2 linked regions of the Macaca fascicularis genome follow. The protein of the gene in region 2 interacts with the protein of the main gene of each other region in a biochemical or structural test. Links are inferred from orthologs where the notes say so. Each region holds a gene or a part of one and is shown on either strand. Other genes may lie near its edges. The genes, in order: SIRPA and MATK.

What was found.
Region 1: the proteins of MATK (region 2) and SIRPA form a complex in vitro, tested with the Homo sapiens proteins (3 studies listed by BioGRID, with this or other methods). The link is inferred for Macaca fascicularis from reciprocal best matches to the Homo sapiens genes MATK and SIRPA.

Annotation. Positions count from the first base shown.
Region 1 is NC_088384.1:85,409,596-85,413,496, forward strand, and holds the start of SIRPA (tyrosine-protein phosphatase non-receptor type substrate 1), read right to left. Parts: upstream 2,641-3,901; 5' UTR 2,514-2,640; coding exon of another isoform or gene 2,031-2,513; exon of another isoform or gene 1,893-2,030; intron 1,633-1,892; coding exon of another isoform or gene 1,594-1,632; coding exon 1,515-1,593; intron 1-1,514. Other genes in the region: uncharacterized protein, read left to right, coding at 1,592-1,632, 2,031-2,513. UniProt on the Homo sapiens protein: Immunoglobulin-like cell surface receptor for CD47. Acts as docking protein and induces translocation of PTPN6, PTPN11 and other binding partners from the cytosol to the plasma membrane.
Region 2 is NC_088393.1:4,501,886-4,505,686, forward strand, and holds part of MATK (megakaryocyte-associated tyrosine-protein kinase), read right to left. Parts: intron 3,168-3,801; coding exon 3,102-3,167; intron 1,312-3,101; coding exon 1,212-1,311; intron 1,132-1,211; coding exon 1,047-1,131; intron 963-1,046; coding exon 889-962; intron 700-888; coding exon 504-699; intron 112-503; coding exon 25-111; intron 1-24.

The sequences.
Region 1 (3,901 bases), on a different chromosome or scaffold from region 2:
TGGAATAGACATTTAGAAATTAACTGGGGCCCAATTCCCTTCTTCAGGAAAATTAAGCACTTGTGATTGACACTTGTGCATTTCCAGGCCAGGAAGGATGGCAGGGCAGGAACTCAGACTTTTGCAGGGTACAAATGGCCGGCTCAGGCAGGAAGGAGCAGATAGGAGATGCCACTCACTGGAGAGACGTGAACTGTATCAGTGCTCCCTTCCACCCAGCAAGGACCCAACTATAACTGAAAACAACTGGGGGTGGGGTTGGGGGGGAGTGGGGTGGGGTGATACCTATGTGAATTCCTGGGTTTCAGGGGAAACTGCAGGGCAGGGAGAAGCAGCTGTCCACCCCCCACTTCTTCTTCCACCCACTCTTTGCTAGTTCTCCCTTTCTCCCTGCTATCAGATGGTTACCATCTCTAGGCAAATGCAAAAGGGGGTGTTGGACACTGAGCTCATCTTTACTTCCCTCCTCAAGGGTGGGAGGTACAGAGAGACCCCTCTGCCTACAACATAGCTTCAAGAGAACAAAAAACAGGATCCCCATTCTCTCCCTCCCAACTCCCTTAACGCCATTTCTCTGCTCCCCCCGCCCCCAAGCCAGTGCCCTCCCAGGAGACCCATGGTTTTGCAAAACCCATTTAAGAAGAAGGACTCCTGAATGGTGACCTCACCCTTTGGTGAACATACACAGTAGCCTTCAGAGCCCGCCTGCCGGCGACAGCCAGGTGTTTGATGTAGGCCAACAGAAAGACATGCCCAGAGCCACAGGTAACATCCCCGCGGAGCACCTGAACTGCAGGGAGCTGCCTGGAAGCTCGGGGAAGGCAGGAGGAAGTGGGAGCTGGGAGCGCCTCGAGGAGCAAGACCACCAGGGAGAGGCTTTGGCAACCACAGGGACAATTCACCGTGTTTTTACATAAGGATCTGTTGCTTGCAGCAGCTCGCTGTGGGGTTACCGTGGCCTCCCGGTTCCCTCTCTCCCAGGCACACACTAACACTGGTTTACTTGGCGCACCAGAGGGAGGGCTCACTCTTCCCTAATTGCAACAGCTTGTCTCTGTTCCATTCCAGGCAGCATTGGGGGAACCTCTGCCCTCACCTCCTCCCCTCACACCCTGAAGTCAAACGTGGAAAGCCGTATGTCCATGGGGAGAGATTCTGGGGAAGGAGGACCGCCCTACTCTGAAAGCCACTGTCAGTCAGCCTTCCCCATTGGACTGGGCAGGGGCTGAGTGAAGCAACTCAGCTCTTTTGTCTCAGTGCCCAGCACAGTGCACACAGTCAGAGTCCACAGAGACAAACTCTCAGAGAAGAGACTTGGATTCTACCCTTGGCTGTGTGACCTTGGACATGTCGCTGGCCCTCTCTGGGCCTCAGTTTCCGCATCTATAACGCTGGTTACAGGCGTCTCTCTCCCTATTACTGCTCAGCATTAGCCGAATGGGTCCCAGTGCTAGTCTGAGAGGCCTGAGCCCGCAGTTTGGGGAGGGCAGCGGTGGGGAGCGGGGGGTGCTTACCTGACCAGGCGCAGGACGCGGTGAGCAGCAGGCAGAGCAGCGGCCCGAGGCGGCCGGGGGCCGGGCCGGCGGGCTCCATGGGCCGCGGCTGCGGAGCGAGGAGGGAGAGCGGCCGTGAGTGCGCGCTCGGGCGGGAGCAGGCTGGAGCGGGGAAATGACTAAGACTCCCCCCCTTCCCCCCTCCCGGCTGGGCCTCCCCCCGACTCCGGAACGGGCGCCTGGAGCGGCTCAGGAGCCGCCGTCGCCGCCGCGGTTTTTGGAGACCCCCCTCCCCGCCCCCCAGGAGAAATCGAGAGACGGAGACGGGGAGAGACCCCAAGCGCGCGAGAAATAAAGCCAGGGGCGGCCAGAGAGAGGCGGCAGGAGAGAGAAACAGACCCAAGGGAGCCAGGCAGAGAGCCAGAGACACAGAGAGGCGAGAGGGGGAGAAAGAGGGGGAGAGCGAGCGAGCGAGGAGTGAGCGAGGCGGCGCGCAGACCGAGACAGACAGCGCGGGAGAGAGGACCGCGCGAGCAGGGGCGAGGGGCAGCACGGCCGAGCCCGGCCGCGCGGAGCCGCCCCCGCCGCTGCCCACCTGCCCCGCCCGGGCTCCACACGGCGCGGGCGGCTGAGCTCGCTCCCGGCCCGCAGTCCCGGCCGCTGCCCCCGCCCTCCCGGCAGCCCGGCCCCCTCCCTCCTTCCCTTCCCCCCTCCTCCCGTCTTCCCGCCGCCCGGGGAGGCTTCGGGGCTCCGGCCCCGCCGGCACCTTCTCGGCGAGCGAGCGCCCGCCTGCGCGCCAGCCAGCAGCGCGCCCCGGGGGAGGGAGCGAGGGCTGCGAGCAGCGCGCCCGGCCGGGGAGGGCAGCGTCGCCCCCCGCGCCGGCGCCCGAGCCCCGGCACCCCCGCGCGGGCCCCCGGCTGCTGCCCGTGAAGGCGGCCCCGCGAGCCGCCGCAGCCCGCTCGGGCTCGGGACTAGACGAGCCTCCGGCTCCGACGATGTACCAGTTCAGAAGCCCGCGCGGTTCGTCCCCAGCCCCGACCCGTCCCGCTCTGCCCCTCCCCGTCCCTGCCAGGCTCGGACCTGCGCCGCCCGCTAGGGCTGGAAGGCACTAGAAGCGCCGCCGGGGCTACCCAGAGGCCGGGTCCCCGCTCCACTTTGCGCAAACTTGTTTTTCTAAGGTCAGCGCCGCGAGCTGGCTACATCGTCCTCTTAAGGTGGACTGGGGAAGTTGCGGCCGACCTCCCCTCGCCTCCGGATTCTGGCCGCGCGTCTACTCCCCGCTTCCCACTGGCGAGAGGCTGGAGGCGGCGAAGGAGTCGGGGAGTGGAGGCGCGGGGGTCGGGGGGTGTCTGCCTTTAACCCTCCCCAAGAGGTCGTGCCTCTGAGCCCCAAAGCTGAAGGCCCCTCTTGGGGATGGGTGCGGGCCGGAGGGGCCCGATCCTTTCAGAGCCGGGCCGAGGTGAAGGAAAAGAAGGAAGTAAGTGAACGCAGGGGGAAGGGGAGAGGAAGAAGAGAGTGATGGTACAAAAATAGCGTGTGTGTAGGAAGGACTTCGGTGCCGCCTGGAAAAGAGGAGCGGGGAGGAGAGGGAGCGAGAAGGGGGCTGTGGCGGGGAACCAGAGGGGAAGGGCCGGGGCCTTCCCAGGGAGGTGGGAGCCCCCTGGCCAGGTGTCTCGGTGGTGGAGGGCAGATTGAGGGGGTGGGGAGGCCCAGGAGGGGGCGTGTGTGGGAGAGCGGGGCCCTGAAGGCATGGGTTCCAGGAGAAGGACAGGCCCGGAAGAAGATGAGGGGTGGGAGCCGGAGCCAGAGGCTTGGAGTTGGAGAGGACAGAATCTCGGTTTTCCTGGAGGGAACGCCGTTCCTGTAGCAGCCAGGTCAGTGATGGGGAGTGTCAGTGTCCTGGTCACCTGGCAGAAGTAGGCTCCGCATTGTGGGAGGAACACGAGTTCAAGACCCGCTGCTAATGGGAGAGAATTTTGCTTCACGCAGTGGCAGTTAAGAGGGTAGGAATAACACAAGGTGAGAGAGGGCCCAGCCCTGTAAATGGACAGAACGTTGAGGCCCAGAGAGGGAATAGGTTTGCTTAAGGCCACACAGCAAAGCTTGGGGTAGCAACAAGATTTGAATTCCTGATTCCCAGGTTAAAGACCTATGCAAAGTAGCACCACCACCTCCCCTCCTGCCCCAAGCCTCCTGGTTAAATGCCTGGTCCTGCTGTTGTGCAGGGGGGCAGGGAGGGTGCCACACTTGAGAACATGGGCTGAACTCCCTGGGTTCAAATCCCCTGGTTACTGTTATGAGCTGGGTAGACTGGAAAGTACCTTACCTCTTCTGTGCCTCAGCTTCTTCATCTGAAGTGAGGCCAGCGTGAGTCTCAATTGTGAGGATTAGATGAGTTAATATTTGTA
Region 2 (3,801 bases):
GCCTCCCTGGGGCCCCCTGCTCACCATTTTAGGGTACGGAGCCCGTCCATATGAGAAGACCTCCCAGAGCAGCACCCCAAAACTCCAGACATCCGACTTGCTGGTGAACTTCTGTGGGGCCCGAGACAGGGGTGAGGAGGGACCCCTCAGGGTTTCTGCTCCAGCCTCTGCTTCCTCCAGGAAGCCCTCCTGGGTTGACCCTCACTCTCCGGTCTCCTAATTGATTCCTCCCCCAACGCCGCCCACAATCGAGTCTAGCTCAGCCTTCATGCATGAAGGAAGTCTGGTCATTCTTCACCTCAGTCCTGAGCCCATGCCTTTTTCAGAGATGGAGAAATTGAGGCCCAGAGGGAAGCTAAAAGGAACAATTACGGGCCAAGAGCTTCCTGGGGAGGCGGAGCCATTGCCCTTGGAGTTTCTGAGAGGCCAAGTGACATAGCCAGGGTCATACAGCAGAGCTGGGGGGACCCCAAAGCCCCAGGGGTGTGTGAAGGAGGGCTCACCCCGTGTTTGAGAGCCTCGGGCGCCGTCCACTTGACGGGCAGCCGGCTCGAGTCCAGCCCTTTCCGCTCTGCTTTGGCCAGGCCAAAGTCGCTGACCTTGGCCACCAGGTCCTCGGAGACCAGGATGTTGCGGGCGGCCAGGTCGCGGTGCACCAGCTTCTTGCTCTCCAGGTACTCCATGCCCTCGGCCACGTGCCTGGGGGGAGCAGGGGGCAGTGGGGGCTCAGGTGCCGGGACGCCTGCATTCACGGCTCAGAAAGCTCTGGGTGCCTGGGCCACAAGCTCAGAAAGCCTCCCTGCCCCGTGCCTCAGTTTCCCCTTGATGGATCTTGGAATCTGCCCCCCGACGACCCCCACGCCCCGGCACCCTGAGAGCCCCACTTACAGGGAAAACTGCAGGAGCTGAGCGGTGTTCACGAGGGCTCGGCCCCGGGTCCGCAGAAAGTTCACCAGGTTGCCCTGTTGGGGGTGGGAGACAGCCGTGGGGGATGTTAGGGCTGCTCTGCCGTGTGGGACCCCCTCCCCGCCTGAGCCCCGCCCCACCTTGCTCACGTGCTCCATGACAATGTACAGCCCCTGGTGCAGGATCACGCCCAGGAGACGCACCAGGTTCTTGTGTTGCATCTTCCTGGGGGCGGTGGGGTGGGCGTGAGGGCGGGGCTGGGACCCCCCCATCCCAGGGTCCCCAGCCCCCACCCCGGGACTCACGTCATGACGGCCGTCTCATCCAGGAAGGCCTGGGCCGTCACGTCGCACTTGATATTCTTCACGGCTACCTTTTGCCCCAGGTACTCACCCTGCAGGACGGCTTGGGGGTGGGGGCAGGGAACGGGGTGAGATCAGGACCCCCAACAAACAGCGACAGAGAGACAAACGGACAGGCCCACTCACACCGGTGCCCATGTAACACTCACACAGCTGCGGGTCCCCACGCTCCCCATCCCCCCCACCCTCACAAGCTCCAGACCCAAGATCAAAGAGAACCGTCTGGTCCTCACGCGGTGGCTCACGCCTGTATTCCCAGCACTCTGGAAGGCTGAGGCAGGCAGATCACCTGAGGTCAGGAGTTCAAGACCAGGCTGACTAACATGGAGAAATCCCGTCTCTACTAAAAATACAAAACTAGCCGGACGTGGTGGCACATGCCTGTAGTCCCAGCTACTCGGGAGGCCGAGGCAGGAGAATCGCTTGAACCCTGGAGGCGGAGGTTGCAGTGAGCCAAGATCGCGCCATTGCACTACAGCCCGGGCAACAGAGCGAAATTCCATCTCAAGAAAAACCAGAAAAAAACAAAACAAAACAAAAAAAACCAAAAACAAAAACAAAGAGAGAACCATCTAAGCCAGGGGTCTGTGAACCTCCACCCCCCAGGGGCCAAATCTACCCTGTCAATTCTTTTTGCAAGACCTTTGAGCTCAAAATGTTTTTTGCATTTTTATTTTTAAAATATTGATACAGGGTCTCACTCTCTCACCCAGGTGAAGTGCAGTGGCATGATCACAGCTCAGTGTAGGTTCAAATTCCTGGGCTCAAGGGATCCTCCCATCCCAGCCTCCTGAATAGCTGGGACTACAGGCATGCTCCACTGTGCCTGGTTATTTTTTTTTTTTTGTACAGATGGGGGTCTTGCTATGTTGCCCAGGCTGGACTTGAACTCCTGAGCTCAAGGGATCCTTCTGCCTCGACCTCCCAAAGTGCTGGGATTTCAGGCATGAGACACCACGCCTGGCTGGTTTTTGGGTTTTTTGTTTTTTTTTTGAGATGGAGTCTCGCTCTGTCGCCCAGGCTGGAGTGCAGTGGCGCTATCTCGGCTCACTGCAAGCTCTGCCTCCTGGGTTCACGCCATTCTCCTGCCTCAGCCTCCCGAGTAGCTGGGACTACAGGCACCCACCACCACGCCCAGCTAATTTTTTTGTATTTTTTTTTAGTAGAGACGGGGTTTCACCATGTTAGCCAGGATGGTCTTGATTTCCTGACCTTGTGATCCACCTGCCTCGGCCTCCCAAGGTGCTGGGATTACAGGCGTGAGCCACGGCGCCTGTCTGGTTTTTGCATTTTTAAATGGTTGTAAAAACAAATCAAAAGATGAGTACTGTTTCAGGACATGTGAGCATTATACAAAATTCAAATTTCTGGCCCATAGTTTTCATGGCCATGCCCATATGTTTACATATTGTCTGTGGTTGCTTTCACTCCACAAGGGCAGGATTCAGCAGCTGTGACAGCAGCTCCCTGACACATGAAGCAAAAAATATTATTACAGAGAGTCTGCTGACCCCTGATCTAAACCCCAGAGTCTTCCAGAATAATAATTTCAGGGAATGGTGTTCCAAACATTCCAAACAGAGGGACTGACCATACAAGACCCTGGCAGTGTGAAGTCACTAACATTGACTGCTTGAGTTCATTGACCCCTCATGACAGCTGCCATTACCCCGTGTTCCAGAGGGGGAAACTGAGGCTCAGAGGATTTGCATGTCTTCAGTTGCACAACTAGTAGGTTGTTAAGTATGGGTTTGAATTCAGCTCTGTGACTGCAAAGCCTCAATATGCACCTCCCACCTTCCTTCAGCACCCCCAACCCGGTCCGCCACTCACCTCCAAATTCTCCCTCTCCGATCTGCGCTCCCAATGTCAAATGCTGCAGGTTCAGTAACCAGCCCGCTGTGGAGTGAAGACCCAGTCAGAGGGGTAATGGGCCCCCCAAACCCTCCCATTGGGGGTTCTACTTGGTGAGAGACTAGGTGAAGTCTCTCACAGTGCTGCAGCTGTGGATACACATTTGAATGGCTGCTGGACCTGGCAATGCCCCTAGGACGTATCAGAGACACCCCACTCCTGGTACCAATTACTGTTGTCGCAACAGAACTATCTCAGGTTGACCTGAGCAAAAACGGGCTTATAGGAGGGATAGTGGTGTGAATGGTCAAAGCTGGGGGCCTGCCTGGCTGAGACCCTCAGATTCCACATTTGCCTTCCAGGAACTCCCTGTCAGGCTCAGGGAGCAGTGCCAGGAAACACTTCAGGTCTCAGGTCTCAAGAGAGAAGAGCTGCCCTTTTCTCTTTGGCTCTCTTGTCCCTCCAAATACCTGCTGGGCTCTTCCCTACACAGTTCTTTACCTCTGACCACTCAGAAACACACACAGAGCAAAAAAAAAGAAAAAACAAACAAACAAACAAACAAACATGGAGACCCATAAAGGTTCCAGAATATTCCAGGGCTCTGGCCTCCCTGACCCTTCTCCCAAGCACTCCTGTGTTGTCCCCTCCACTGTCCTCTGGTTGGTTCTGCAGGCGT